3 linked regions of the Caenorhabditis elegans genome follow. The protein of the gene in region 2 purifies or fractionates together with the protein of the main gene of each other region. This does not show direct contact. Each region holds a gene or a part of one and is shown on either strand. Other genes may lie near its edges. The genes, in order: C25G4.8, lmtr-5 and mltn-1.

The links.
Region 1: the proteins of lmtr-5 (region 2) and C25G4.8 fractionate together in Caenorhabditis elegans (co-fractionation; one large-scale study listed by BioGRID). This does not show direct contact.
Region 3: the proteins of lmtr-5 (region 2) and mltn-1 fractionate together in Caenorhabditis elegans (co-fractionation; one large-scale study listed by BioGRID). This does not show direct contact.

What each region holds. Positions count from the first base shown.
Region 1 is NC_003282.8:12,456,855-12,467,399, reverse strand, and holds C25G4.8 (BTB domain-containing protein), read left to right. Parts: upstream 1-3,929; 5' UTR 3,930-3,987; coding exon 3,988-4,012; intron 4,013-4,195; coding exon 4,196-4,316; intron 4,317-4,360; coding exon 4,361-4,798; intron 4,799-6,702; coding exon 6,703-6,865; intron 6,866-6,994; coding exon 6,995-7,153; intron 7,154-7,200; coding exon 7,201-7,338; intron 7,339-7,440; coding exon 7,441-7,581; 3' UTR 7,582-7,661; downstream 7,662-10,545. Other genes in the region: C25G4.7 (uncharacterized protein), read right to left, coding at 10,253-10,380, 10,428-10,440.
Region 2 is NC_003281.10:3,178,836-3,187,237, reverse strand, and holds lmtr-5 (Late endosomal/lysosomal adaptor and MAPK and MTOR activator 5), read right to left. Parts: upstream 3,562-8,402; 5' UTR 3,546-3,561; coding exon 3,511-3,545; intron 3,178-3,510; coding exon 3,099-3,177; intron 2,785-3,098; coding exon 2,611-2,784; 3' UTR 1,997-2,610; downstream 1-1,996. Other genes in the region: mks-1 (MecKel-Gruber Syndrome (MKS) homolog), read right to left, coding at 4-150, 480-538; R148.3 (DUF4476 domain-containing protein), read right to left, coding at 4,245-4,270, 7,146-7,388, 8,006-8,402.
Region 3 is NC_003280.10:13,137,743-13,149,983, reverse strand, and holds mltn-1 (MLt-TeN (mlt-10) related), read left to right. Parts: upstream 1-4,758; 5' UTR 4,759-4,826; coding exon 4,827-5,068; intron 5,069-5,864; coding exon 5,865-6,016; intron 6,017-6,204; coding exon 6,205-6,373; intron 6,374-7,105; coding exon 7,106-7,461; intron 7,462-7,545; coding exon 7,546-7,670; intron 7,671-8,326; coding exon 8,327-8,917; intron 8,918-10,010; coding exon 10,011-10,505; 3' UTR 10,506-10,640; downstream 10,641-12,241.

The sequences.
Region 1 (10,545 bases), on a different chromosome or scaffold from region 2:
GAAATCAAGATAAAACTGTGTGTTACAGATTAAAAAAATGTTTTGCCTCATGAAAATAATCTTAAAAATTAGGAATTTCTAGTTTCTGAAAAAGAAAATGCCGTTACTTCGAAAATTTAAATATGTTCATCTATCTTAAAATTGAAGCAAAATATTGGTATATCTGTCAAGTGCTCCATTCAAATGCAAAATATCTATCAGAAAACATCGATATAAAAATTTGAAAAAAGGGAAATAGTTTTTTTCAAGAAAAGAACTGTAGATTTCTCATGAGAAAATATTTCAAAGGTGGGTTTTAAAAAATTGGATTTTTCAAAAATTTTAGTTTAAGTTTTGGTACATTGCCAATTTGAAAATTATGGAGTTTTTCGGCAAATTTAGAGTAAGATTTTAGTATAATTAAAATATATATTTTTTAGGAACTTGTAGAAAACATTTTTATTGTGACCACCAAAATCACCGGTGTTAAAACTGATCAATTGGCAATTTTTAAGCAAAATAATTCTGCAGAATTCGAAGTATGTACCCGGAAGGTTGCCCACCCATAAAATTAATGGTTTTAAATCAAAATGATTGCAGAGCCAATGGTCCCAATGGGGGTTTTATTTGACACAAAAAGTAGACTGTAAAAAGTAGAAAAGTAGAAATAAATTTTGAAGGTGTTTTTTGTCAACGCCGCGATGAGTAGATTCAAATTTTAAATTTTAATTATGAGTGAGTGAAAATTTAAATTTTGATAATTTTTTAATTGGGCATTTGGTAATATAGAAAAATTTGAAGTAATTTGAAAATCATCCTGCATTCAATTGACAAACTTTGGAAGCTCATATCTCATTTGACATAGGTTTTATCAAAAAATTATCAACGAACAATTTTTTGATAATTGCTTTCTCTATAAATCGTTGTCAGTAATTTTAATAAATGTTGAAAATAAACTGTCAAAATGAAGTGAGAAAGGGGTGCAAGACTAATAGAGGAAGTACGAGATTTTGAACAGCTGATCAAGATTGAGAGATTATAGCTGGAAAGATGATAACAAGTAAACGAGAATTTGGTGATCAGGTCACACAGAAAATTTGACAAATCACCTTGAGAATCTGTCTCGGGTGTCTTTTGAATGTTTGGACAAGTAGACGACGACAAAAAAAAGTGACATACTTTTTGAAACGGGTGCTGGTGTTGGAAAACAGGAGAGAATGGGATGGAGAGGGAAGAAAAGAAATAATGAATGAATGAACAAAATACGAAATTTCGAATTTAACGAAGAAAGGAACATTGGAATATGAACATTGGAAAGTTAATGAAAAACATACGGTCAACTTTGACTGCATTGGTCAACTTTGACTGCTCTTATTTCGGTTGCCTTTTGATTTATCAAAACATTTGTCAACTAGCAAAATAGAGTTTATTCATTTTTCTATAGTTTTGTAGTTCAACATTTATTAGTAAAATGAAAATGAATTTAGATATAAGCAGTCAACGTTAAGAGTGCTGCTAATAGAGAAGATACGGTTATTTTTTGGAAACTGGATTTTAATTTTCTTGTTATAATCACGTTTCAAAATGTAAAAAATTTAATCATCAATTTGAAAATAGTTTTTATTTCAAATTGAAAAGTTTGGAATGAATTTCATTTAATTTCAAATTTCAAAAAAAATAGATAATATTCTAGATTTTTAAGCTCCTCTTCTAATTTTTGAACTAAAAAAAATTATAACTTTTTTAGCATCCCGTAATAAGGAATTTTTCAGAAACACTGAAAAATTTATGTTCACAATTGCCGCCAAAAGACCAAATAGAATCTACTTATAAGCTATTTATAAGCTATTTATAATTTGGGTGCAAGACTAATAAAAGAATCAAGGTAATTTTGGGAATATTGTGCACCAGTTTGCTTAAAATTGAAACACTATTAAACAGCACGGCTAAAAATTATAAAAGCACATGAGGGAAAGAAAAAACATGCGTAGCTGTTTGTCAGAGACAAGCCGTTTCAAAGTATCAAGTTCGTTCGAGGAATCACATACGACAAGAATACGGGAATTTAGTTGGAATCTATTGATGTGAAAACGGGAAACAAATGCTTTCAGAACGATAGAAATTTTGATTTTAAAGTGGACGGGCTACAAGGACTCGCCGCTTTCCGGTATACACGCAACCAAGCATAAGAGACTAGATGTGCTAGAAAACAAGAGAAGTGACCAAAGGTTTTGTTGGTGATAGAGTGACAAGAGCGAGTGTCTCGTGTTTTTACCACAATTGGGGGAAATGGCTCTCGCTCTTCGTGTCTGTGTTGCTCCGCGCAGCTCTCTCGTTCTGTGCTTATTTGTTGTTTTGAGCAACAGCAGCAGCAGTGAGCAAAAAACTTGAAAGTAGAACGGGAAGAGAGTGTCCGTTTGTCTGGTGGTGCCAAGCAGATGCGCAGACAACGTTCTTTTCTTTCTCTGCGTCTTTTCGCCGAATTTCATGTGCTTTTTCCCTCTCGGAACTGATTCAGGTTAAACATAATTCGCATTGTTAGAATTTTCGTTTGATATTTAGAAAGTGTTTTTTGATGGGCTGTCACATGAAATATATTGCAAAAAAACGTTTGAGAAAATTATTTTTGGGTAATTTGGAACTATTGGATTCACGGAGCGTCATCGTTAGCTGGAATTATAAGCTTGAAGGTGGAATATTGTCAGTGGGGATTTAGTCTGAACTTAATGTGTTCTAAAATGACTTAATGATAAAACACGTCAAAAATTTGTAGATTTTTGAACTTTTTCAGTACAAGTTTTGGAAACTATAAACTTTTACAAATGAGGATTTTTGGTTAACTAAAATTAAAAAAAATCAACTTTATGAAGTTGGCCTAACGGGGAATACTCACTTGTTAGACTAAAATTTATATTTTGTTAAGCACTAAATGTTTTCTTTGAAACGACTACATACCATTCACAATAGTAAATTGTAAATATATTATAGTAAATTGGAAAATAAAGCATTTTTAAGTTTGAAGTTGGGCTGGCAAACATAACGTCCGGCTTGTCAAATGTAATGTTCGAGTATTCATTTTACATTCCAGGCTCTACTCATGTTGAAAGCATAGTTTCAAAGTATTGTAACATCGTAATTGTAAAATTTCTTGAAAATCGTCTGTAACAACTCCAACAGGAACCAGGTGGTCCGAATCCGGAAACCAAACGTCAGGTTTAGTTTGATGTAACAGCCTGGATCGACAAATTGCTCGTTTCTTATAACTAACATTTGGAAAAAATAGCAACACAACAAAACACCAATAGACTCTGGAACTGAAATCAAAAAGCAAAAATGGTACAATGTCCGGTTCTCTATCTTGTAACTATAAACTAATTTAATTTTTTTCAAAAATCAGAAGAAGCGATTCAGACAAAATTTTTATTCGAGCTAGACGTTGCGATTTTTGACATCTTGCTGGCACATCACTTGAACCCATGCTTCTGCTCGTTTTCTTCTTGGCAGCTTTGGCTGGCGATTCAAAAGACGATTGATCCAAGATTTCTGACGAAATATGAACAAGACTAACGAGAATTGGACCTTTTATACTGAATTGATAAGGCCATAAAAAACTAGGACAAAAGGTCGTGTCACGTGATCACTTTTTTTGAAATCGAAAACTAAGTATTTTAACAAAAAAATATATTTCTTTTTTTGTTTCAAAATTTGAATGAAAGTTTGTTTATAGGGTTGTTTAGATTTGTTTCAATAACATGTTACCTGCCAATAGGTGAATCTTTTTGCGATGCACCATGTTTTTATCTGCTTAGATACAGACACCGAGAACAATGCAAAAACTAGGCGTAATATGGCCTTTATTATCGGAGTTTTTGTTATTATTTAAAAAAAAAGAAGTTAATATACTTTGCCTTACAAATAATTCCACGTAAATAAAAATAAATAAAAATTCCAGCACATTCTTCCAACACAATTTATTCCTATTTATATTGCAAGAAAAAGCTGTTCAAAATGAAAGCGATGCATATGGAGCAAAGTAAGTTGTTTGTAAGGGCTCAGAGTTGCGTGGTACATTCCATGAGAACTAGACTCTTCTGGGTCGCTAAAACATAGGCAAGGCTCCTGTCCATGTGGAGTACACGAACTGATTACCGATAGAGCTCAACTGTAGACGCATTTAGTCCGAATTTTTCAGAAATCTACAAGGCTAAATTTTCAGAGTATCAACTAGCGGACAATTTTATCAATTTCAATTATCTACTCAAATTTAAACTGGGTCCAGAAGATGTTCGAGCAAAAGGAGCATTTTCCACGATTTTTGAAAGCACTATGCTCGATTGGTTAGTGCTTTTTCAGAAATATTTTTTAATTTTATGAGTTTTAGGGATCTTCAACTCCACAAACAATTTGCTGGACACATCCTTCACTCGCGTGAATCTAATTGGGTAATCTCGCTGAATGGATCAGGAGTCCGTGATTCATACCCACCACTTCACAAACTATACTTTAAAGTGAAAGCGATGGGTTCCGATGGAAGTATTAAGAAGAGTCTCAAGTACTTTATCGATGGACTTCCAATTGCTCCGGCTGAACGAAGAGGTCGAATGGATCATAGATCTTATACAACTCTACAGAATACCCAATTCGAAAGAGATTTATCGACGTTGATAGCTGAAGCAAAGAAGAAAGCGCAGACGATTCAATTGGAAACTCGGTTGGAGTTTAAGAAAAATGATTTGGTGGATATGAAGTATTTGTTGGGAAATGGTGCACCGAATATGCCAGATTCATTGGATTATTATTTCGATGCAATCACTAATAAGTTAGTTTTTAAAAATTTTTGTTGCAAGATTTCCTAGCCTTCCTACAGTGCGCCCAACTTCTATAGCGCCCCCTATTTTTTCTCATTTCACCACCTTCTGACATTTTTTACAAAAACTGCTAATGCCATTCGATTCCAAATGTCGAAAAACCCCCTGTCCAAAATTTTCATCAAAAAATTCAATAGACTGAGGAGACTAGGTCAAAAAGTCTCTAAAACGACCGCCCAACTTCTATAGCGCCCCCTCGAATTTTTGATTTTTTCTAATAAAATCCCCTTTTTTTGGCTTTTTCTAAGAACAACTTATTCATGACTTAAGTTCAAACTGATCCAGACATCTTGCAAATCAATTTTCAGAAGAAATTTATCCGTGGAAAATCATAGGATCTCTAAAATTGTCCTGAAACGCCTAATTTTATGTTAGAGGGCGTTGCGCGGCGCCCAATACTTGAATCAGCACCAGAATCAACTAAGATGATCTACAACATCTATTTCATCGGTCTGCAATTTTTTTAAAGATTTGCAACTCTTATTTTTATTATACTACTAGTACGAGATAGCACTACTGGCCTTCGCGCATTCACCATCCTCTAGAAATCAAAAAACACAACAGATTTTATTAACTTAGATAAAGTTCAATATTTCGTAGGACCTCCATTCTTGGCGATGACCTCAAAGATTCGATTAGGCATCGAATTGACCAGATTTTTCATCTCTGTAGCTGATATGGCGTTCCATGAATCCTCAATTCCGACTTTAAGAGCAGCAACATTCGGATATTGTTTTCCATTAGCGTACACGAGTCTCACGAGGGAAGCCCACATATTTTCGATCGGATTGAGGTCCGGTGAACAAGCTGGTCATTTAAGGAGTTTAATTTTCTTGCTGCTGAGAAAGGCACGAGTTGAATTGGCTGAATGAATACTGGCGTTGTTCTGTTGGAACTGCCAGTTTTTTTTCGACGGGTGTCTCAAAAACTTCACTAAATCCTTTTCCAAGACTTGCTGATAATCTACAGCAGTCATTTTATGACTTGTAAATTGGATGGGGAGCTTCTTCTTTTCCGAAAAAGCGGCCCAGCGAAAAAGCGGCAAAGCGGCGATGCAGCCTTCACAATGTTGCGTTCCTCACGACTCGATAAAACTTTGCATCTGGGAGCTCTTTTGGTTTGACCATAAGAAAGTGGATTATTGAGGTAGTTGTAGACACATTTACGAGAGCGATTGATTTGGCGAGCCATTTCATTTGTAGAAATATTAAGATTCGCCATCACATCTAGCTTGGATCGTTCATCTCTTGTTAGCTGAGGTCCTCGTGGCATTTCGAACAAAATTGATAATAAACACTACGTTTTCTTGAGCATTCGTATGCCACAAAATGACACGTAAGACGTGAAAAAAAATTTCAGACCGATGAAATAGATGTTGTAGATCATCTTAGTTGATTCTGGTGCTGATTCAAGTATTGGGCGCCGCGCAACGCCCTCTAACATAAAATTAGGCGTTTCAGGACAATTTTAGAGATCCTATGAATTTCCACGGATAAATTTCTTTTGAAAATTGATTTGCAAGATGTCTGGATCAGTTTGAACTTAAGTCATGAATAAGTTGTTCTTAGAAAAAGCCAAAAAAAGGGGATTTTATTAGAAAAAATAAAAAATTCGAGGGGGCGCTATAGAAGTTGGGCGGTCGTTTTAGAGACTTTTTGACCTAGTCTCCTCACTATCAGTCTATTGAATTTTTTGATGAAAATTTTGGACAGGGGGTTTTTCGACATTTGGAATCGAATGGCATTAGCAGTTTTTTGTAAAAAATGTCAGCAGGTGGTGAAATGAGAAAAAATAGGGGGGCGTTATAGAAGTTGGGCGCACTGTATTTCCCAACATATGACCAAATTAATTCCAGATCTCGTCATGATTTGAAGCTGAAGACATCCGATGGCATGCACTTTGTGATGACGAATAAGGAAATTGTCTGTCTGGCATCTCAATTCTTCCGTCAGCATTTGAAGGACACAACTACCGAGTACACAGTTGGAAGAGCTGATTCTGTGCAGAGCATTGACATTGTACGGTGAAGATTCAATAGGGGAGGCTGTAAACGACGCGGTGGCAGAGTTTTCAAATTTCGTTGAGACTTAGCAGATGGCTACAGCAATTTTCTATGTAGAATTCTGCCCGTTCAATGAAATTTTCAGTGTCTCACCTACATGATCACTGGTATCTACAAAAAACCTGCTCTACTTTCTCCAAAACTCGCTTTCGAGATATTTGCTTTGGCTATGCAATGGAAGGTTTTCGAGCCAAAAGTTCTAAAAAACTCGATCGAAAAGCATTGCTGTGAGGAGTTGCAGAAGGTGAGAGCCTGTTCTTGCTCCATCGAGCTTATAGTATGAATTTTCAGAACTATGAAGATATCATGTACGTGTGCAATATGCTTATCATCGCCGATGACGCTCAATTTGCAAACGTTCAAAACTGCTGCATCGCCACTCTTGTCTTCTATCACGCCCACGACTTCATTCGGATTTTCGTTATTGGGGTTGGTGGTGTTTGAAGCCCCCAACACCTGCCGGGTTCTTGTCGGAGCCCGGCAGATGTCTGACGCAGAGGATCATGATGCACTAATAATAGATAATTTCAGAATCACCCACTGAAAGAACGATTCTCCCGACGTCAAGAGTTCCTGAGGCCATCACTGACGATGCAAGTGAAGAGAGCATTTGCTGCGTCGAATGAGTCAAAGTGTTTCATCAAGTTCCTTCCGGCCATCGGAGAAGATTAACTTTGAATAAAGGGTTTTATTGGGAACTTTTTTGCCACATTTATTCCTTTTAAACTTCAATAAAGTTCTAGTGGTCGACACTTCTCGGGCTCGTTTTTCCAATAAAACAATTTCTTTGGTCCAAATTCCTTGGTTCGAAAATTTAAAAATTGTTTTTCGCCGAAAATTTATACAGAAACTGAAAATGAAAAAACAATTCTGCATTTTTTTGAAGAAAACTTGAAACAAACATCAAAATCAGCTAGATAATTTACTTGTCTTTGTTCAAATTTATGGCGAATCGAGATTGCTGGAAAACATTTGATTTGTCTAGAAAATGCTAAGACTAGTGTTATCACTGTGTGGAAACAAACGAAAAACAAAAGAAGTCCATGTTTTGCCTCTTTTGGGACTTGTGAACTGGAGATTGGATGGCAATGAGAAAAATTGTTTGAAAACTGAAAGAATTAGAAGAGGCGGAGCCAAATGACATTTGAATGTTGGGAATATTATTTGCAAGCCGCTAACTGTTCTACACCATTAAAGGTAGAGTGGCGCCAAGAGGGAAATTTTAAAAACCACACCCAAAATTATGCCAAAATGACCGAATATCATAATAAAATTTTCGAGAAATTTTTTGAAAATTTTTTATTTACTGTCAAAAAGTGACAATTACTCAGTTTTTGCCACTCATAATTTTGGAGGTCGACCAAAAAAAATTTTTCCTACATTTGTATACTGTAATTTTGTTTTAATTATTCGTATTAAAACATTGTAAGGGTTGGCACCTGCGACATTGGTTTGGATTTCTTCAAAACCTCATATCTTTCAAAATTTTGGCAATGTTCCAAAACTTCTACTGGAAATTATGAAAAAACTAAACATTTTTGGAGTGTTTTTTATGATATTTGGTTGTTTTGGATCTTTATATGTGTATTTAAACAAAATCCCCCACTGGCGATACTCTACCTTTAAACATTGAAATAAACGTTGACAGAAAGATTTTCAAAATTTTAAAGTTTATGTAAAGTTTATGTGGGTGTGTTGGAACTTTATCAGTTACAACACTTTTTTCATCGCCGGGTGAGTAGCGGGCTATTAGTAGAAAAAGAGAAATCGAGAAGCTGCCGACAACTGGCAAGTAGGTAGCCGGTCGAAAACAAAACGCCGGAACTGTAGAAGAATGTGGAAGAGAGAGTGACGTCACAATTAGACTAGAATCATTGGAAACATTCAAATACAAAATATTTATTCACATCACAAGTAAAAGTTCAGCTGTTATCCTTGATTGGCAATAACCACCGGCGGCACTTTTCTCATGAAACTTCTCACGTTGAGACTCTTCACGTAACGATCATTAAGGCGTTTCTGGAAATGAAATACTTTGAGTCTTGTCACAAATTCTAAAAATTGATACCATAAGACTGAAGCGCTTCCCTTGACCCTGTTGAACGAACGCAGGGTCCGGCCATAAAATAATGTGTAGAAAAATTAGGCAAACATGTGGAATTCTTTGCTGTGATAACTTACATTTTGTTGGATGTCCCTGCAAAGATCCGCAAAATGAAAACTGATAATAGTGGCGTTGCAGGCTTCGAGAAGACGTCCGAGATAATTAGTGTGAGCCATAAAGAGCAACTTCTCCACATAATCCAAGTCCTCACAGTTCTGCAAAAACAACAGTGTTACAGGTCTCATGAGGTACTGTAACTTGCCTTAATCAGCTCCTCAAAGCAGTGACTTTCAATCGACCCGATGAGCTGTCTCTGTTTGTGTTTACGTGTCACAATCTTCCAGGTAACAACCTTAAGAATTTTCGTCACAGAATAAGAGAAATAATAAGAACCAACCACTTCAATAGCTTCCAAGAATTGTACCTCCAGTGGAAAACTGGTTATGGAACTTGTGAGATGGTTGCGAAAATATGGAGAAGCCACGTATAGAGCTTCTTTATTGCACGGGAATCCTTGTTGAGTAGTGGTGGTGAGAAGGAAGTTGTGAGTCTTTCTGGAATGCGATTGACTTAGGCTTCATATGAAATCTTACAAAAATACTCACTGATTCATCAACAGATAATATTTGAAATCCAATTCGACTGGCATCGGTTTTCCAACAAATCGATTGAAGTATTTCAGGCTCAAAAAGTTGTTGATATCAAATACGATAACAGTGAGAATTTCCAATTTGTATTTCTTGAATTGCCGATTTCCGATCACCTCGCACAAAAAGTCTCGAATCACGCCACGTTCCGGTGTAATGCAGTCGAAATCGTCACGGTCCGTGATGTCAGGCTCATAGGTGAATTTTACAGGTGGCAGGATGTCTGTAAAAGCAATTGGGAAACTATTTCAAAAGCGCACTATTATCTCCATCAGAATTGTCAACCAATCTTAACTTGAACTCCACTTTCTGCACAGGAAGAGGATGTTGTCCGGCTGGATAAAGACTGATTCGAAAAACCTTCTCGACGACCGGTTCTTCAGGGTTTTGGGGATGTTCTTGAAGTATTTGGGATACCGATATTTCGATATCCCTGGAATCGAAATGAATTTTTACTGCTTCTTTGCTGACAAAGTGAATAGACGTTAGACATGAGGTAGGCACTTGGGGAGACTGGGGGAGTGAAACTAAATTTCAGTTCCCACATATCTCCATCTCCCCTTTTCTCTATCCCCTAGAACTGTGAGATCACCTACCAATTAATCAGCGAGTACTGATGGACCGTGGTAAAACGTTTCGGCTTCATATGCTCAACCTTGGTGGTCGTAATTTGAAAAGAGTGAATAAATGTGATTGTATCAAGGGATTCTTGAACACTTTCTGAAAAAAAGTTTCAAAAATTTCATTAAAAAGCGTTCAAAACTAACCAGGTTTGCTCATGATTTGAGGCACGAAAGTTGGAAGAAATATTGTAAATAGCTAGGAATAATCGAGAAAATCACGATAAGCACTAGAATGTTTTTTGAAAACGTGAGATCATCACGT
Region 2 (8,402 bases):
TACCTATTCTCAGCTCGTCCAACTTTTTGTTTCCACTTGAAAGTGACGTCATCAAGACGACTTTTTGATGGTCTCTCATCGATCACATTGTTATCCTGATTAAAACGGTCAAAATCGAGAGATTGAATGCCTTTTTGGAAGAGTTGGACCCTGAAATTCGAAATTTGAGATAAGTTGGATTTTTGGCCTAGTGGTTAACAGGGGTGGCTGAGACCCACAACGCCGGGGTTCGAGCCCCCGCTGTGGCAAATAGTTTTTTTTGTTTCATTTGTTAAAAGTTCAAAAATAAATTTTTTTTAATATCGATTTTTAAGCAGCTTCGTTTTTGAAAATTTGATTTACCTTGTATTTTTCGTTAATTTGACGCTCCCTTTTTGAGAATTAAAAAATTATTTTTCAAAAAAAAAGAAAAGAGTTTTCAAAATTATTATATTCTGATAATTTGAGAATTTCAGATATCTCAGATTTTTAAAGTTTACCTGATAGATAATCGATCCACAGATCCGGCAAAACCGAAAGTACTTGATAAACGGGACATATTGATGTTCTACTAGGGGTGTGCTCCGCGAGCCCACCTCGCCCTCCGGAGGAGGGTTCCTATGGTGACGGGGGGGGGGGCATAGGGAAATGAGACCGGGTAAGAGAAAGAAAAAGCACGTCCATTCGAAGAAAATACAAAAGATTTTAAAAATAATAAATAAATAAATACAATTTTTTAAAATTCTAAACTTTTCTCGAAATTTTCAACAAGAAAAACCGCCCGAAATTAGGCATTTATGAAGAATTGGTCATATTTTAACTCAAAAAATGTCGCTGAACACAAAAAACGTTAAATAAAAATATTAGCCACAGCGGGGACTCGAACCCCGGTCTTGTGTGTCTCAGCCATCCGTGTTATCCATTAGGCCATAGGTTAAAATTTTTTTGCTGGAAATTGGTGTCAAATTTGAGGTAAATTTGATTTAAAAACAGAATTTTCATACAAAAAACCATGAAAAATCAATACTTTCCGAGAAATTAGGCAAAACATTTGTAAAAATTAATTATGCCAGAAAAAATCCAAAAGTCCTAAATTGTGGTATTTTTCCGGTTTTTGAAAGCGTGTCCTATACAAAACACACCAAATAAAAACTATTGACCACAGCGGAGACTCGAACCCCGGTCTTGTGAGTCTCAGCCTTCCGTGTTAGCCACTAGACCAAAAAAAAAAAACGATTTTTTGAAAATTTGATATGGGTGTCAAATTGACGGAAATTTTACGGAGAATCCGAATTCTCTCAAGAAAAGTCTTTAAAATCGGTATTTTTCTGAGAAATCATGCTAAGGATGGGTTTAAAACAGTTTCGCCAAAAAATATTTTTTTAAAACTTTAAATTCTGTATATTTCCGTATTTTCAAAGTGCATACAAAAAAAAGACACTAAATACAAATAATAGCCACAGCGAGGACTCGAACCCCGGTCTTGTGTGTCTCAGCCATCCGTGTTATCCACTAGGCCAAAAATCCGATTTTTTGAAAAATCGATATGGGTGTCAAATTGACGGAAATTTTACGGAGAATCCGAATTCTCACAAGAAAAATCTTTCAAATCGGTATTTTTCTGAGAAATCATGCTAAAAGTGGTTTTAAAACAGTTGGGCTAATAATATTTTTTAAAAAAAGTATAAATTCTGTATATTTCCGTATTTTCAAAGTGCATACAAAAAAAAAGACACTAAATAAAAATATTAACCTCAGTGGGGAATCGAACCCCGGTCTTGTGTGTCTCAGCCATCCGTGTTAACCACTAGGCCAAAAATCCGATTTTTTGAAAAATCGATATGGGTGTCAAATTAACGGATATTTAATGGAAAAACTCAATTTTCATACAAAACACCATGGAAAATCAATATTTTCCGAGAAATTATGGATTTTTGGGGCAAAAAATGATTTTTTTTTTGTAAATATCCCAAAACTAGCGTCAAAATGATGGAAATTTTACGGAGAATTCAACTTTTTTTGGTAAAACATTTATTTAAGCACTGAAACAGTGATAACTCAATGAGAAAAAGAGAGGAATATAGGGGGGAATGTGATCACATATCAAATTGGCGGGAATCTAGTATATTTACATACAAAATTGTGGTGGAAAATGTCATGAAACGGGGATTTTTATGGGATTCAGTGGGGTGAAAAGTGGGAAAATGGGGGAAAATTGAAAAAAGTCAAAGAAAATACAAAAAAAAATCAGGGTTTTCAGAAGATTTTCAGATTTTCTGACAAAAAATTTGAAAAAAAAACTGATTTTTTGTAAGAAAATCCGGAAATTTCAGGTTTTTGAAGCAGATAATATGAAATTTGTTGATTTTTGAATAAAACGTTCAAAATTTTTAGATTTTCGAACAAAAATTTCTGAAAATGTCAGATTTTTGATTTAAAAAAATATGAAATATTCCGATTTTTTTTTAGATTTTTAAAAAATTCTGTATTTTTCCAATTTCCGCTAAAAAAGGTAATTTTGAGAAAAATTGGTGAAATTTTCAGGAAAAATGATCAAAAAAAGAGATTTTCAGGTAAAAACAGGCGATTTAGAGTGAAATTTCGTGAATTTTCCAGATTTTCCGACGTAATTTATTTCTGAAAATGAATTGAGACAGTTTCTCCATGCTTATTGGCCACCGTAGTCTTTGATCCGTCCGATGAGTGTAATGTGACAATTGGATAACTATTCTTCTTATTTCTTGTACCTTTTGGGAACATATTCTTCGCATCGGCGATCATCAATGAGCCAACATTTGCCATATCCTGAAGAAAATATTGATTTTTTTTGAAAAATTAGAGAATTTTTATCAGAAAATCGATTTTTTTGAATTTGGCTAAGAAAAAATGGATTTTTAATTTTTTTTTTTTTTTTTTTTGAAATTTCGATTAATTTTGCAATTTTTTTGGTGAAAAATCGATTTTTAAAGGTTTTTTTCAATTTTGGTGGGGAAATCGAATTTTTTTTCGAAATTTCAATTAGAAAAATTGATTTTTTTGCTGTTTTTTTTCGAAATCTTATATAAAAATTCGCTTTTAAATTGCAATTTTCCGAAAAAAATTGATTTTTTTGTGCGTACAGTAATCTTTCCAGCCGAATGAAGCCTGACACCTTCCGAGTCGGCGACTGTAATTCCCGATGCTCCGGTGCTTGACATCCTGCAAGAAAATTTGAAATTTTTTGGGTTTTTTAGAAGAAAATTTGAAATTTTCACGAAAAACGCTATTTTTCAGAGTATTCAGTCGTTTTTTTTTCTCAATTTTTGAGGGAAAATTAGAAAAATTTTGGATTTTCGTAAAATTTCAGTAAAAATCCAGTTTTTTTCTTTGAAAAATTGGATTTTTAACACTTTCTTTATAAAAAAAAATGTCGATATTATTAGAAATTTTAAGCTATTTTCAAAAATTAAACGATTTTTAATCAAAATTTCGAGATTTTAGCGAATTTTGTAACAAAAAATAGAATGTTTTTCAAATTTCCTGCTCTCTTACATCGCTGTGACGTTTTGCTCCAATTTCGACTCCATTTCTGCTGAAAAACTTCACTATTTCAAGATTTTTAGCGAAAAAAAGAAAATTCAAAATTCCAGGAAATTTATAGAATACAATAATTGGCATGAAAACCATCACCACAACCACCAAAAAAAAAACCCGGAAATTTCACAAAAAAACTCATTTTTCACAGAGAAAAAAAACACCAATCAATAAATAAATATATATATTATTTAGCTATACACGAAGAAAATAATTTCAATTTTAGTCGGCTGGGGGGGGGGAGCACAAAAAAAAACCACAGAAAAATCACATTTTCGGTCGGAAAAAAATCAATAAAAATTCAAAGAGCATGTGCGCTCCAGTGATAATTATCGCATTTCCGCGAAAATTACCAGTGGAGCGCGCTTTCTGCCTCAAATTTTTTGAATTTTTGGTATAAAATAAGGCGACAGGGGGTTTTAGAGGTGGGAAAACTCGTATTTCAGGTGAAAATTCTAGAAAAGTTAAAAAAAACAAGAAAAAACGAAGCGAAGTTGAGCTTTTTGATATGATTTAAGACACTTTTTGGTCGATTTTTGGTTGGAAAAATCGAAAAAATCGATAAATTGAAGGGGAAAAACATTCAGAGAAGAGAACAAAATGGGTATATATATATATATATAGAAAATCTAAAAGAAAAGAAGAAAATTACAAGAAAAAAAAATTTAAATCCAAGAGCAGCATCCAGTGTCCTATTTGCCAAGATGGTGAGCAGAATCTGAAAAAAAAAATCGATTTTTTTAAATTTTTTGCACTTTTTTCGGCAATATTCGGACCGAAAACCTCAATTTTTGAAAAATTTCCATTTTTTTGGAGCATGAAATATCAGATTTTAGGCTAATTATCTTTTACTATGATATCTTTTACTTTTTTATCTTTTACTCATCCATTTTATCGAAATTATCTTTTACTCATTTACTCATTTTTTTTCAAATTTATTTGTTTTATCTTTTACTCATCCATTTTGAAAAAAATTATCTTTTACTCATTTACTCATTTTTTCCATTTTTTGCTAAAAATCAGTTTTTCGGGTAAAAAAGTTGTCAGGAAGCCGATTTGGGACCTATATTTGGCCAAATTTCTTTAGTTAATGATAAGGTGATCGTTATCTATTAGATAAAGTACTCCGACCACCCATCCGGTCTTCACTAGTCATATATCTCGATATGTATATTCAGGCAAAATTATTGAGAAAACTGATGGAGTCCTTTCTGAAATGTCTTTAATTGATGGAATTAACAGTTTTTATCGCTCATCTACTCAAGTTTTCCAATTTTAATTTTTTATCTTTTACTCATCATTTTGAAAAAAAATTATCTTTTACTCATTTACTCATTTTTTTGAAATTTTACCAAAAAAAGAGTTTTTCGTGTAAAGAAATATTTTCAAGCCGATTTGGTTGATCAAACTGCTCAGTTAACGTTGGTTAGTGATGTTCTATAGATAAACTGTTGGAAAAAATTTTCCAACTTAAAAGTTGCCATTATATCATCGAAGATCCAGACAAGCGAGTTCAAGTGACTATGTGGAGTCTACCCACTCAAAAATTTTTTTTTTCATCAAAAGCCCTGTTTTCGAGCTTAAAACGTCTTTTTTTGCGGTTTTATTCCTTTCAAAAATAAAATTGTCGTCAAATAAAATGCACCGTACGCAAAAGTACGCAAACACCGAGGTCTACCGTACTCCGAACAATTTTTAATTTCGATTTTTGAAAGGAATAAAATAGTAATAAAAGACGTTTTAAACATGAAAACAGGGCTTTTGATGAAAAAAAAAATTATAAAAATTACTGAGCATATTATCTCCACGAAAATACAAGACTCGAGGTGTTTTTGAGAAAAATTTTTAGGCCTACGATGATTTTTTCGCAAAAGGCTTTTTCGATGAATCACAGAAATTCCCAAACTGTTATCTAGTGAAGTTTAGAAAAATATACTCGGAAATAATAGTTTTAAAAACATTTTAGGCCGCCGGGAGGGTTTCACTGAAGAATACAGGCACATTCTAAGACTACAAAATCAAATAAGCTACATTCCCGTTATGGATAAGATCAATTAGGACAAGTTAGCTGTGGATAAGAATAGTTGCACAACATTCCAGAATAGAATACTTTCGTGTTATCATGAAGAGTTGTCAATTTGAGTTACCAAATTCAAGATGGAACAGATTTCATATATAGCTTTGAAACGAGGGCGCCTCTCACCTGTTTGGTGAAGTGGTAAAGCGCGGGCTCTTCAGTAGAAACAATCCTGGTTCGAATCCGGATCCATTCAGAATTTTTTTTGAACTTCTTCAAATGATCTGATATAAGTTTGTGTTCTCTTGTGTTCTCAAAATTCTACGTTGGGTAACTGAATCGGCAAAAACTTGGTTAAAATTCCAGTTAAAGTGTAGTAAATTTTTTTCAGGACGGTTAATTTCATCTATTATATGCATTTCAGGAAGAACTTCATCAATTTTCTCAAAATTTTGATTTTTGAAAAAAAAAATTTTTGAGTGGGTAGACTCCACATAGTCACTTGAACTTGCTTGTCTGGATCTTTGATGATATAATGGCAACTTTTAAGTTGGAAAATTTTTTCCAACAGTTTATCTATAGAACATCACTAACCAACGTTAACTGAGCAGTTTGATCAACCAAATCGGCTTGAAAATATTTCTTTACACGAAAAACTCTTTTTTTGGTAAAATTTCAAAAAAATGAGTAAATGAGTAAAAGATAATTTTTTTTCAAAATGATGAGTAAAAGATAAAAAATTAAAATTGGAAAACTTGAGTAGATGAGCGATAAAAACTGTTAATTCCATCAATTAAAGACATTTCAGAAAGGACTCCATCAGTTTTCTCAATAATTTTGCCTGAATATACATATCGAGATATATGACTAGTGAAGACCGGATGGGTGGTCGGAGTACTTTATCTAATAGATAACGATCACCTTATCATTAACTAAAGAAATTTGGCCAAATATAGGTCCCAAATCGGCTTCCTGACAACTTTTTTACCCGAAAAACTGATTTTTAGCAAAAAATGGAAAAAATGAGTAAATGAGTAAAAGATAATTTTTTTCAAAATGGATGAGTAAAAGATAAAACAAATAAATTTGAAAAAAAATGAGTAAATGAGTAAAAGATAATTTCGATAAAATGGATGAGTAAAAGGTAAAAAAGTAAAAGATATCATAGTAAAAGATAATTAGCCCAGATTTTAGCATTTTTAAAGAAATTTTCGGGTAAAAATCAGTTTTTTTTCCGAATTTTTAGCAGGAAGTTTGCGAAAAAACACTATTTTCAGTTTTTTTTTCGATTTTTTGGCCAAAACTCGCATTTTCGGATAAGAAATAGAATTTTTCACAGGAAATTCCACATTTTCGAGTACTTTGGGGCTCAAAAATCTGAAAATAGTTATTGTTTTCAACTTTCTTGCAGTTTTCGACAATTTTGGAGTAGAAAACCTTGGAAAAATGACATTTTTAGCTCAAAATCGCCAGAATTTGAAATTTTATTGAAATTCATACATTTTTAGCCAAAAATCGTGATTTTTTCAGTTTCCGGGGCCATTTTCACCGAGAGAAAATCAAAATTCGCCAGTACCTGGCCGTTTGCCAAGCGGTTTTCGTGCTCCTGGCGGTGGAATCGCGCTGAGCAGCGGCATCTCTGGTGGTGGGCTCCGTCCACCGTTTGAGCCACCCGATGAATATGGTCCATTCGCCGAATTGCTCATCAAATGTCCACTTCGACTGTGTTGACGGTTAAGCGGAAGGAATTGTGGCTGAGATGTGCTCATAAAGCTCGAATCCGATGAGCCGGGCAGATATGGATTCATTGAATAGGGATCTGCAAGAAATTCGGATATTAAATTGGGGGAAATTTGAATTTTTTCATAATTTTTATGTGAAAAATCACAAATTTTCAATTTTTTAAACTGAAAATTGAGCGAAAATTGAGCTTTTTTTAGAAGGAAAAAGTATTTTTTGATAAATTTTCGAGCGAAAATGAAATTTTCTAGCATTTTTATTGAAACTCAACGATTTTTCTGTGAAAATTACAAAAAAATCGAGCGAATTACGTCATTTTTCACATTTTTGTGCATTTCCCGTAAATTTTCAGGCGAAATTTTTAGTTTTTACAGCATTTTCAGTTCGAAGCAAGCACCAGAAAACTGTGAAAATTCTTGTTTTCAGCCTGAAAAAATCGGAAAAATTACAGTTTTTCAAGCCAAATTTTGAGAACATTTTTAGCTCGTAAATTCGATAAATTGCAGGGTTTTAGTGAAAAATCAATATTTTTGAGCATTTTTTTCCGGCAAAAGCTCAACGAGAAAAGCACTCAAATTTCAGGTTTTTGCTCAAAAATTTCAATTTTAACGAATTTTCATTAAATTTTCAGGCAAAAATTCAACTTTTTGAGCATTTTAAGTCGGAAAATTCCAGAAAAATGCGCAAATATTCTACCATGAAAACTGGGTGGCTGCCTTCCATGACTTCTCGATCGTCTCCGATGACTCGGCGCCGCCTGCTTCTTCTCCTGATCCGACGGTGACTCGGCTCCAAACGGCAACTGGCTCCGACGTGTCGATCGTCTTCTCATCGATGAATATCCATCCAATGGTAAAACAACTCTCTGCAGTGCTGGCTCGGGCTCATCCCAAATAGGCTCCTGAAGTGGAGAAACAAGGCGATCTGGAATGCTCCGCGAGCTCGTGACACCTCCAGCCATTGAGAGCTGAGTTTTGAGCTCTTCAACGTCCATGTTAAGCTTTCGAACATCGTGGAAACTCTTTGTCTCGAGCTTCACATATTCCATTTTCACACGTTTAAACTCTGCGTCGAGCTCTCGAATCTTATCATC
Region 3 (12,241 bases), on a different chromosome or scaffold from region 2:
AACTTTCGGCAAGTTGGCAAATTGCCGGAATTGAAAATTTCCGGCAAATCGCCAAATTGCCGGAATTGAAAACTTCCGGCAAATCGGCAAATTGGCTAAATTGAAAACTTCAGGCAAATCGGCAAATTGCCGGAATTGAAAATTTCCGGCAAATCAGCAAACTGGCAAATTGCCGATTTGTCGGGAAAAAACCAATAATTCTTGGCAAATTGTGGTTTGCATAAGCACTTTTTTGGAAATTTTAGAACTTCAACTTTAATTGGCAAAATTGTACGCATCCTATGAACTACATCTATTTTGAAAAAAATAAGCAAATTCTATAAAAATATCTAAAGAAAACGGGAAAAACATTTCAAAGGACACAGTTTCCAGTGTTTCCTTTTTTTTTTGTTTTGTAGGTTCTTATAAAGATGCCAGGAGTTCCCTAATTTTTTTATTTTTGAAAAGTAGTTACCGAGCTCCCCTGATATAGGTATCCTATAGGATATAGGTTTTCGGAATTTCTAAAAATATTTTAGGTTACTGTATAAATTCTAACGGACTATTGTAAGAGTACGGTAGGCTCACATACGTTGACACAAAATACCTAACGGCCTTCAATGCCTGTCTCGTGCCTACACGCGTACCTACTGTCAAAAGTTTATGCCAACATTAGGTTATATATATAGATATTAGAGGTCAAAGTTGTGACTCATTATTTTGACAATTTTATAAAAGATGAGAGGTTTTCCTGTTAAGCAAAGGACCAGTCTTATGTTAATCAGAAAATTTTTATTGTATGGAATATTCGGCAAATCGGCAAAAATTCGGCAAAGTCGACAAATTTGGCAAATTATCGAACGCCGGAAATGTTCAGAGGGACTTTTTATAAGACGGAAACACTTAAAACTGTGCATTTTCAAAAACATTTTCTCGTTTTTTCTCGATATTTTCATATAATTTGCATACTTTTCATAATAGATGTAGGAACATTCATAGGATGCGTGCAATTTTGCCGCTTGAAATTGAAGTTCTGAAATTTTCAAGAAAAAAATTGCAAAACCACAATTTGCCGAAAATTTGCCGTTTTTTTCCGCAATTGCCGTTTTTTCCGGCAAATTCGGCAAATCGGCAATTTGCCCGCTTGTCGATTTTCCAAAATTTTCAATTTCGGTAATTTGCCAATTTCCCAGAATTTTTTAATTCCGGTAATTGGCCGATTTGCCAAAAACATAAATTCCGGCAATTTGCCGATTTGTGGATTTGCCAAAAATTTCAATTCCAGGAATTCGCCGATTTTTTTCACGCTATCAAAAATTATTCCCGATTCCTAATCACAATTACCATATTTTCCAAACCATCCACATTTCAAATGGATCCGTCAAAAAGTTTTGAACTTAAAGCTGGTCGGCATCTCAGATTAACTGTTTGATTTGATGAGAAATCAAAACATATCCACCTCTTAATCCGAATGGAAACATTTTGATAGGCAAACGAGAGAGGGAAAGTGATAAGCATTTATCAACACACGTACACCGACCTTATTCCCTTCTCTCTTTGCAATCATGATACATTTATATCTGCATAGAGAACTATCACATTTCGGAAAACTGTTCTTTGCTCAACCGGATTTCCATCTACTTTTTAGTCCTTCTAGTTCACATTGATGTTTGTTTTCAGTTTCGATTTCTGAATATTTCATATACATAGTTCCGGTCAACAAACAAGTTCGAAAAGATACGGTATGGATACGGCTATTGGTGATGGGCGGCGGGATAGGATAAAGTTGCAAGATTAGTAGGTCATACGGTAGGTACAATGACTACAAATCACGGAATTTGTGGATAATTGGAGAATGTTTCAAAGTAGGGTAGGACGTTTTTGAGCATCTAAAAAAACTGGAATGTAGCCGTAATAAGTACCTCTAACTACAAGAAATATGGGATCAATACACCGAAAATTTTCGAATTTTACTTATATGTTAATAATACAGAAATCTCAGATTTTTAGGTCCAAAAAAAACCGACAATTTTTGCCGAAAATTTCATTTCCGGCAATTTGTCGATTTGGCGAAAATTTTCAATTCTGTTACGTTGCCGGAAACTTTCATAATTGCGGAATTGTCGTTTGCCGGATATCATATTTGGCGGAAATATTTAGAGGACTTTTTTTTTTGAAATTTTCAGCAACTTGCCGGTTTGTCAATTTGGCGAAAGTTTCAATTCCGGCAATTGGTCGATTTTGCGAAAATTTACAATTCTGTCACGTTGCCGGAAATTTTCATAATTGCCGAATTGTCGTTTGCCAGATATCAGATTTACCGGAAATGTTTAGAGGATTTATTGAAAATTTTCGGCATTTTGCCGGTTTCACGATTTGTCGGAAATTTTCAATTCCGGCAGATTGCTGATTTGCCGAAAATTTCGATACGGGCAATTTGCCAATTTGCCGGAAAAATCGTTTTCCCACCCCTGTGTTGTATCTCGGATGATTTTGAAAATATCAGTATAATATTTATTAAAAAAATGTAGAGATAAGTGAAGCATCTTGGAAAATTTATCTAAATTAGATCGACCCAGGAAACTTGTCTAATTGGCCGGGATTCGAAAAAACTGAATTACCGTATAAAACATACTCCATCTTTTCCGAAAGTCTGCCCTATTTATTTATTCCAGTCGGAGAAAAAGGCATGGTGGGAAACTCAAATTTTCTAAATTCTAGAACTTTCTAAAAAATCTGAAATTTTCTAGAATTTACAATAAATTTTTATAATTTTAAAGAACATTGTTTCAAAAATGGTAAATAGAAATTTATTCTCTGAAATGAGAAATTTTGATAAATTAACAGTACACAAAATTTTTGGGAGTCGAAAATAAGTTCAAATCAATCGTTTTATTCTCGCATTTTTTTTTAAATATAATAAAGCCGTACTAATTTAAAATTTGATTTTAAAAATAAACACGATTTTTTTACTACGAAATGAGCTACAAAAATCAAAGACAATTGAAGATTTCACAATTTTTTAAGATGAAAAAAATATTGAAAAATGTTAAATTCCGAAGATAAGAAATCAAACTTTTTTCTTTTGTAAAAAATATATTTGTTAAATTTTCGGCAAATTTATTTTCCGGCAAATTCGGCAAATCGGCAAATTTTCGGTTTGCCGATTTGCCGGAAGTTTTCATTTTCGGCGATTTGCCGATTTGCCGTTGCCGGCTCAAAATTTGGCGGAAGGTTTTAGGCGGATTTTTTAAAGGACGGAAACACTTAAGACTGTGCATTTTGAATTTTTTTTTCCGTTTTCTGTAGATATTTTCATAGAATTTGCTTACTTTTCAAAATAGATGTAGGAACATTCATGAGAAATTAAAGTGCACACAAGAGACAGCTATACTTTAAAAGCCGAAAAAGAAATGTAAGTCATTGATTGTTCAATTGCCGTTCGGCAAATTTTTTGTCGACAAATTCGGCAAATTGGCAAATTGCCGATTTGCCGGAAACTTTTATTTTTGGCAATTTGTCGATTTGCCGATTTATCGGATATTCTCAATTCCTGCAATTTGCCGATTTGCCGGAAATTTTGATTTTCTGCAACTTGCTGATTTGCCGGAAACGTTCATTTTCGGCTAATTATCGATTTGCCGGAAACTTTCATTTTCGGCAAATTACCGATTTGCCAATTTGCCGGAAATTTTAATTTTCGGCAAGTTTCCGGTTTGTCGATTTTCCGGAAATTTTCATTTTCGGCAGTTTGCCGATTTTCCGAATTGCCGGAAATTTACCGATTTGCCGGTTTGCCGTTTGCCAAACATCAATTTGCCGGAAATTTTTAGAGGGAGTTTTTAGAAGACAGAAACACTTGAAACTGTGCCTTTTTGAAATTTTTTCCCGTTTTTTCTAAATATTTTCATAGAATTTGCTTATTTTCGAAAAAGATGCTGGAACATTCATAGAATGCGTACATTTTTGCCGATTAAAATTGAAATTCTAAAGCTTAAAAAAATTGAAAAACCACAATTCGGCGAAAATTTTCGAAAATCTCCGTTTTTCCGGCAAATTCGGCAAATCGGCAAATTACCGGATTGCCAACAAAAATTTCAATTCCAACGATTTACCGGTTTGCCGATTTGCCGGAAGTTTCAATTCCGACGATTTGCCAAAAAATTTTTAATTCCGGCAATTTGCCGATTTGCAGGTTTGCCCAAAATTTAAATTCCGGCAAGTTGCCGATTTGTCAAAATGCTAAATTTCTGCAATTTGCCGATTTGCCGATTTGCCGGAAAAAATCGTTTGTAGTTTGCCGCCCAGCCTAGTTTACCGGTACACTGTGTGCATAAATCGTAATCAAATATAGGGATCCTATTGGATATCACTCGAGAAAACTGAATTACCGTATAAAACTTCTAATCCTTCCAAATCCGAAGAACCTGAGAAGTTGTCAAACACACATACAGGGAACAAATAGTTTTTCGCATTTTCAAAGATAAAAACCAAAACTTGAATCCTTTTTGACCGCCCCCCCCCCCTTCAAACTAGCATCATTGAAACAATGCGCATTCCACGTGATATGAACACACACATACACACTTCAATCTTTATCATCAAAATCGTGAAAATCAGGATCAAAATGTGGCCACCTGTTATGCTATAGATCTTGGTTCAACGGGATCATCTCCCATCCTTTGAGAACATCTTCTCTCCTCGTCACGGGAAGGCACCGCCCAGCAAGTGATAACCACGTTTTGGAAAAACTTTCGGGATGAATCCGAAAACTCCGCCCTCTTTACATCCAGAAATCCATAAAATCACAGGGAATCCCTTTTCTCTGGTCTCTGGTTTACCACATTATGATCCTATTCCCTATTATTTTATTTCTAACACTTCTACCGTATCCATGCACCTGCTTAAAAGTTAAATCGGAAGTAGATGTGACAAAATATGGGTTGACGCAAAAAGAAATCTTGAAATCTCCACATTATAAAGACAAAGTTTTCAATGTTCCCATGTCGACAGAGTCTGGAGAAGAGCTCTTGGAGCATTGGGCGGTTCAAGGATTTTCCGGAGTTGTCGCAGCGATTGCTACAAGAAGGTGAGATCAGACTTTGTTATTTTAGACCTAAAATGGTCTAAAGCTACCGAATTTTGTGATGAGACGTTCTGAAAATTTTTCAAAAAAAAGTTATGGCCGCTCAAAGTTTTGGAAAAAATGATCTTTTTTTTTAGCTAAAATCTCAAATTTTGGCAACTTTTCGCGGCAATTTTCGACCGGCAATTCTACAAAATGAGACAGTTGGGCATGTTCCCCATAAATTTTTCATTAAAATTTAATGATACAATATAGAAAAATATTTGCTTTATTTGAAAATAACTGTTATTTTAGTAGAAAAATCTCCAAAAATAGTCTGAATGTTGACAATTGCCGGTTAAAATTGCCGAAAAAGTGGCGGCAATTTTCACCGGTAATTTTCAATATTCGGACAATTTTTGAACACTTTCTCGGTTGTTCCAAGTCAAATAAAAGTTATCTTCAAATAAAGTAAATATTTGTCTATATTATATCATGAAAATTTAATGAAAAATATTGTGGGAACATGTCCAACCATCTCATTTTGTAGAATTGCCGGCTGGCAATTGCCGCGCACTCTGAAAAGTTGCCGAAATTTGAGATTTTAGCTAGAAATTGACCATTTTTGCCTAAACTTTGAGCGGCCATAACTTTTTAAAAAATAAATTTTCAGAACGTCTCATTACAAAATTTGGTAGTTTTGGACCATGTTAGATCTAAAAATGGCAATTTCTCAAATTTCGTTACTTAACATTTAAGAAAATACGCATTTAATGCCACGAGCAATTTGTTAAATTTGTTAAATATATTAATATTTCAGACTAGCCCTTGTTGAAGACTACCAAAAAAAGAGCCATGAGAAATGCTCATCCGAGGCTGAAACTCTTTCGGAGCACGCAAGTTGCTTGCTCAAGCTAGAAGACGACGCACATAGAAATCGATTGGTTCATAGGAGAAAGCTCTTCAGCAGAAGTGAGCATTTTAATTTTACGTAGTTTAAAAGGTAAACATTTCTAGTTGACTTGAGAATTTCTGAAGAAATTTTCCCAATTTTGCCCAAATTTTGCCCAATTAGTCGGCTTGCTGTACGAGCTGACAGCCAAAAAAAAAAATCAGCTAGCCGTTCAGCCCTGATCCCCACTGTACTGAACATATTCCAGAGATGCGTCGCCGAATCGATAAGATGGTTACCAACACTACAATGACTCCAATAACTGAAAAAGAGATTCGGGAAGATAAAGAATGGATTGGGTCATTCAAGTTTCGGGCAAAACGAGAAATTAGAGTGCACACCAGAGATAGCTATACTTTAAAAGCCGAAAAAGAAATGTAAGTGGTTGAGTGTTGGCGGCAAAAATTGTTTATTGACAAAAAAAATTGGCAAATCGGATTGCCGGTTTTCGGCGAATTATCGATTTTCCGGAAACTTTCATTTTCGGCAAATTACCGATTTGCCAATTTGCAGGAAATTTTAATTTTCGGCAAATTTCCGGGTTGCTGATTTTCCGGAAATTTTGATTTTCGGCAAATTGCCGATTTGTCGGAAATTTTGATTTTCGGCTATTTGCTGATTTGTCAGAAATTCTCAATTCCGGCAATTTATCGATTTGCCGAATCGCCGGTTTGCCGGTTTGCCAAATTGCCAGACGTTTTTAAAGATAATTTTTATAAGACGGAAACACTTAAAATTGTGCCTTTTTGAAATTTTTCCCGTTTTCTTTAGATATTTTTATAGAATTTGCTTATTTTTTTCAAAACAGATGTAGGAACATTCATCGAATGCGTACCATTTTGTCGACAAAATTTGAAATTCTGAAATTTCCAAAAAAGTACAAAACCACAATCCACTATTTGTCGACAGTTTTCGGCAATTGCCATTGTCCGACAAACTCGGCGAATCGACAATTTGCCGGTTTGCCGGTTTTTCGGAAGTTTTCAATTCCGGCAATTTTTTAATTTGCCAATTTGCCGGAAGTTTTCAATTCCGACAATTTGCCGATTTGCCGATTTAAACAATTTGTTTGCTGCCATAAAATATGTATAAACCGTAATCTGTTCTAGGACACCATTCGGCCTGGTAACGAGACATCTCTCTAGCGCTGTGAAACTTCTCAAAAAGACGGACAAGGTGTCAAAGTGGCAAGATACTATCGAACGAATCACCAAGAAAGCCGAAGAAATCAAAGAGCAAAAGAAAATGGAGGATTTTATGCAAAAGAGAATGTCGATTTATGCAGATGCAGCTGAAAAGATGAAGCAGAATAAGAAGATTGCGAAGGATGATAGTTTAAAGGAGTTCAACGATTTGGAGCAATTTATAGACAATGATCAGATTAAGGAGGTGTTGAGGAATAGGAAGAATAAAATGACGGAACAGGAAAAGTTGATGATGATTCCGATGAAAATGATGAGAGATGGTTAGTAATGTGAAAATTTTTAATTTGGCCAAAAGATATATTTTTACAAAACGAAACCTTCTAATTATAATAAATAAAAAACAGCCGCCAAGATGGGATTGGAAATGTCGGGTCACAATACAACAGATTTCGATCGGAAAATTGTCAGAATTATCAGTCCACGTCTTATGAGTGTGATTCCACAAGAAGAAGCTGCAAAGAATAATGAGGTAAGGGACAGGCGTGTGCGGCAAATTTGGCAAATTTGCCGAAGTTGCCGAACCCTAACGATTTCGGCACCCGGCAATTTTCGGACTAGCCGAATTTCAAAAGTTTCGGTCGGCCAAATCAATTTTGGCGACCGGTAGTGGCCAAAATTGCCGCTTGCCGAAAAATTCCAAAACCGGCAATTTTCAAGTTTGCCGAACCATAACAATTTCGGCAACGGGCAATTGCCAAAAATTTTCAAAACCGGCTATTGCCGAAATTGTCGATTGCCGAAAAATTCCAAAACCGGCAATTTCCAAAATTGCCGATTGCAGGAAATTTCGAAAACAAGCAAATCTCGATAGAAAACAAAAATTTCCAAAACCAGCAAATCTCGAAAAAAATGCCCAAAACCGGCAGTTTCTGAAATTGCCGATTGCCGGAAATTTTCAAAACCGGCAATTTCCGAAATTGCCGATTGCCGGGAAATTTCCAAAACCGACAATTTCCAAAATTGCGGATTGCCGAAAATTTCTAAAACCGACAATTGCCGAGAGTTTCCAAAACCGGAAATTTCCGAAGTTGCCGATTCCAGGGGCGGCAAATCACGAAATTTGCCGAGCTCGGTCAGTTTGGCAAATTCGGCATATTTGCCGGACACAATGTTCGAAATTTACAGATTGATCTCCTCTCTCCTTCACTATTTGCTCTACACGAGGATGGCTCTGGAGTAGAAAAGAAAGCATCACTCGGAAACATCCTAGGATCTCTCACCGATAACAAAGACTCTCAGGATTTCTTGGATTTTATTGTGGAAGCAACTGGTGTCAATGAAGCGATGGAACGGGTTGAAAGAAAAATCGGAGAGTATCGAAGACTCAAAGACGATGCGATGGGAAGAGGGCCTGAAGGTCAACCGTTGTACTTCACAAAAGAAAATGTAACAGAAAAATATCCGCATGAGGCGAGGAAAATCGAAATGTTCGAGTCTTTGGATAAAACTTATACCGATGAGCAGCTCAAGGAGATGAACAGAACAGGCTATACTATTATGAGACATGATCAGATGGATTTGATCTACGGGAAGGGATCAGTGGGGGAAAATGAGAAGTTCTTGAAATTGGCAAAATCAATGAGCAGACCACAAATCGATAGAGCTATTATGGGAACAATCAAGGACTTGGCACATGAGAAAGTCAAATTTGAGGCAAAGAGAAATGATATTATTTTATCACCGATCACATTTAGTAACTTCATTTTGGATCCAGTGGTGAGTTAACTGGCCTGTGCGCAGGGGTGCATGACAATTGCAGACCGGCAGTTCTACAAAATTAGACGGTTGGGCATGTTCCAACAATATTTTTCATTAAATTTTTTATTTTTTTTTCATTAAAGATACAATATAAAAAATATTTGCTTTACTTGAAAATAATTTTCACTAGACTTTTAAATAGCGAGAAAGTGTTCAAAAATAGTCTGAATGTGGAAAATTGCCGTCAATTTTTCGGCAATTTTCACCGGAAATTTTCAACATTCAGACTATTTTTGAAGATCTTTCTACTAAACTAACAGTAATTTTTAAATGAAGCAAATATTTTTTATATTCTATCATTAAATTTCAATGAAAAATTTATGGGGAGCCTGGCCAACCGTCTCATTTTGTAGAATTGCCGGTCGACAATTGCTGTGCCGGTCGACAATTGCTGACTGTGCAGCAAACATACAAAACGGCTTCAATATTTTCAATATGATAATCCAATTTTTTAAATCTAAAATAGGTATAGAAGTGTAGAAAAATGTTTGTTCTATCTGAAAATAATATTTATGTTTGTTGAAAAGTTTGAAAAAATTTTCAAATAGTCCCTGGAAGTTATCGTTTGCCGAAATACTTTTAACGGCATTTTTTTCAGCAAACGGCAACTTTCTGGCACAACTTGAGGCTTTTTAAGAGATTTTTCAACAAATATAAATGTTATTTTCAGATGGAACGAATTTTGTTTAATATATAGAAACATGTTTGTATATTCTGAAAAGAATTTTACTTTTCAGTGAAAGTTTTGAAAAATTGCTCGAAGACTATCTTAGTTTCGTAATGTGCCGATCAGGGCTATCTGAAAATTTGCAGAGCTCGGCAAACTCGGCAAATTCGGCAAATTTGCCGTTCTTCGCAAACTCGGAAAATTTTGATTTTTAAATATTTTTTGGAGCACCAAAATTACTGTTATTCATAGAAAAATTTTGAATAGTGTAATATTGCCATTATCAGTGGCTCTGTCTCAATTTTCTCAAAAATCGAACGCTCTTACTTGAAAATCTGGAAAATTTATTCAAAATTTTCCAACAAAAAATCTCCCATATTGCAGGCTGTCTCCCAACCGGCAATCCTGTCTCCTGTCATGCTGTCATCACTGATCCTCTCTCCAGCTGTCTACGGAGTAATGATCCTTTCCCCATGGCTATTGGTACCTGTCATTCTTTCCCCGCGTCTTCTATCACCAGTAGCTGTGAATCCGTTCCTGCTGGTTCCGATCATTCTATCACCTCTAGCCTTTAACCCATTCATCCTGTGCCCAGGATCCATGAATCCATTCGTACTTTCCCCGCTCATCTTCGCCCCATTCATTCTCTCCCCACAAGTACTGACTCCACTGATCTTGACTCCGTTCTGTCTCGGACCAATTATTCTGAACCCACTGGCGTTGAGTCCCCTAGTTCTGTCCCCATTCGTCTTGTCCCCGACAATCCTCTCTCCTCAGTATGTGACTGCTGTCGTGCTTTCTCCATATGCTCTGAGCCCCGCGTGGGGATCCGATGGAGCTATGGTCACCGTGTTTGCCTCTCCAAGTTGGCTTTCATAACATATATATATATATATATATATATACTTCACTTGTGAATTTATGGGTCATATATCTAACTTCTCAATCTACAACTATTACATGTACAATTTAATAATTGATTATTTTTAATAATAATAAAAATATAATAATTTTTATTTTGACTTACACTAAAACAAATCCAGACAAGATAGTCTAAAGAAAATATTTTTTAAGCTGTTCGAAAACTGGTATGAGAGTGGATAAAGATTAGTTTTCTGAGCGTCTAACAAATTAACAAATTACATCAAGATACATTAAGTGCTCCTCTCAAGCAAGGAGTGTTCGGCAAGTTAGCCAAATTTGCCATTTGCAGACCTCGGCAAATTTTGAAATTTGCCGCACAGATTTATCTTGCAGCATTAGGCAAAAATCGAGCGAAAACCAGTGAACTTAGTTTTTTTTGCATAATTTTTTACACTTTTTGAGCTCCAAAAAATATTGCCATATTACTAAGAGTACGGTAAAGTTGCCGAATAGTTCTGCTTTTCCAACCGACAAAACTGCCGATTCGCCAAATTTGCCGGAAAAACTGCAATTTGCCGAAAGTTTCCGGCAAATTGTGGGTTTGCACTTTTTTTTTGGAAATTTCAGAATTTCACATCCTATGAATGTGCCTACATTTATTTTGAAAAGTATGCAAATTCCATGAAAATATTTAGAAAAAACGGAAAAAAATTCAGAATTTTTTCCGCAGTTTTAATTGTTTCCGCGTCTGATAAAAAAATCTCTCTAAACATTTCCGGCAAACGGCAAATCGGCAATTTTCCAAAAATAAAATTTTTCGGCAAATCGGCAAACCGGCAATTTGCCGATTTGCCGAACGGCAATTGCCGCTCATCCCTGTCTCTCACTGAAAAAGTGCCCATCTACAAAATATTGGCAATTCACTAAAAATTTGGCAACTTGCCAAAAATTGCCATTTCACTAAAAAATAGGCAAGTTGCCAAAAATTGCCATTTCACTATAAATTTGGCAATTTGCCAACAATTAGCACTTCACTAAAAATTTGACAATTTACGAAAAATCGGCAATTTATTTAACTATTGCCAATTAAAAAAAATTGGTTCACTGAAAAATGGAAATTCACTAGAAATTTGGCAATTTGCAACAATTGGCACTTCACTAAAAAATTGGCAATTTGCCAAAAATTGCCATTTCACTAAAAATTTGCCAATTTACGAAATACTGGCTATTCACTAAAAATGGAAATTCACTAGAAATTTGGCAATTTGCCAACAATTGGCACTTCACAAAAAATTGCCAATTTCTGAAAAACTGGCATTTCACTAAAAACTGGCATTTCACTAAAAACTGGCAATTCACTAAAAATCTGACAATTTGCCAAAAATTGCCATTTCACTAAAAATTTGGCAATTTGCCAAAGATTGCCATTTCACTAAAAATTTGCCAATTTACGAAAAACTGGCAATTCACTAAAAAATGGCAATTTGCCAAAGATTGTCATTTCACTGAAAAGTTGGCAATTTGCCAAAGATTGTCATTTCACTGAAAAGTTGGCAATTTGCCAAAAATTGCCATTTCACTAAAAAATCGGCAAGTTGCCAAAAATTGCCATTTCACTAAAAATTTGCCAATTTACGAAATACTGGCTATTCACTAAAAATGGAAATTTACTAGAAATTCGGCAAGTTGCCAAAAATTGCTATTTCACTAAAAATTCGGCAAGTTGCCAAAAATTGCCATTTCACTATAAA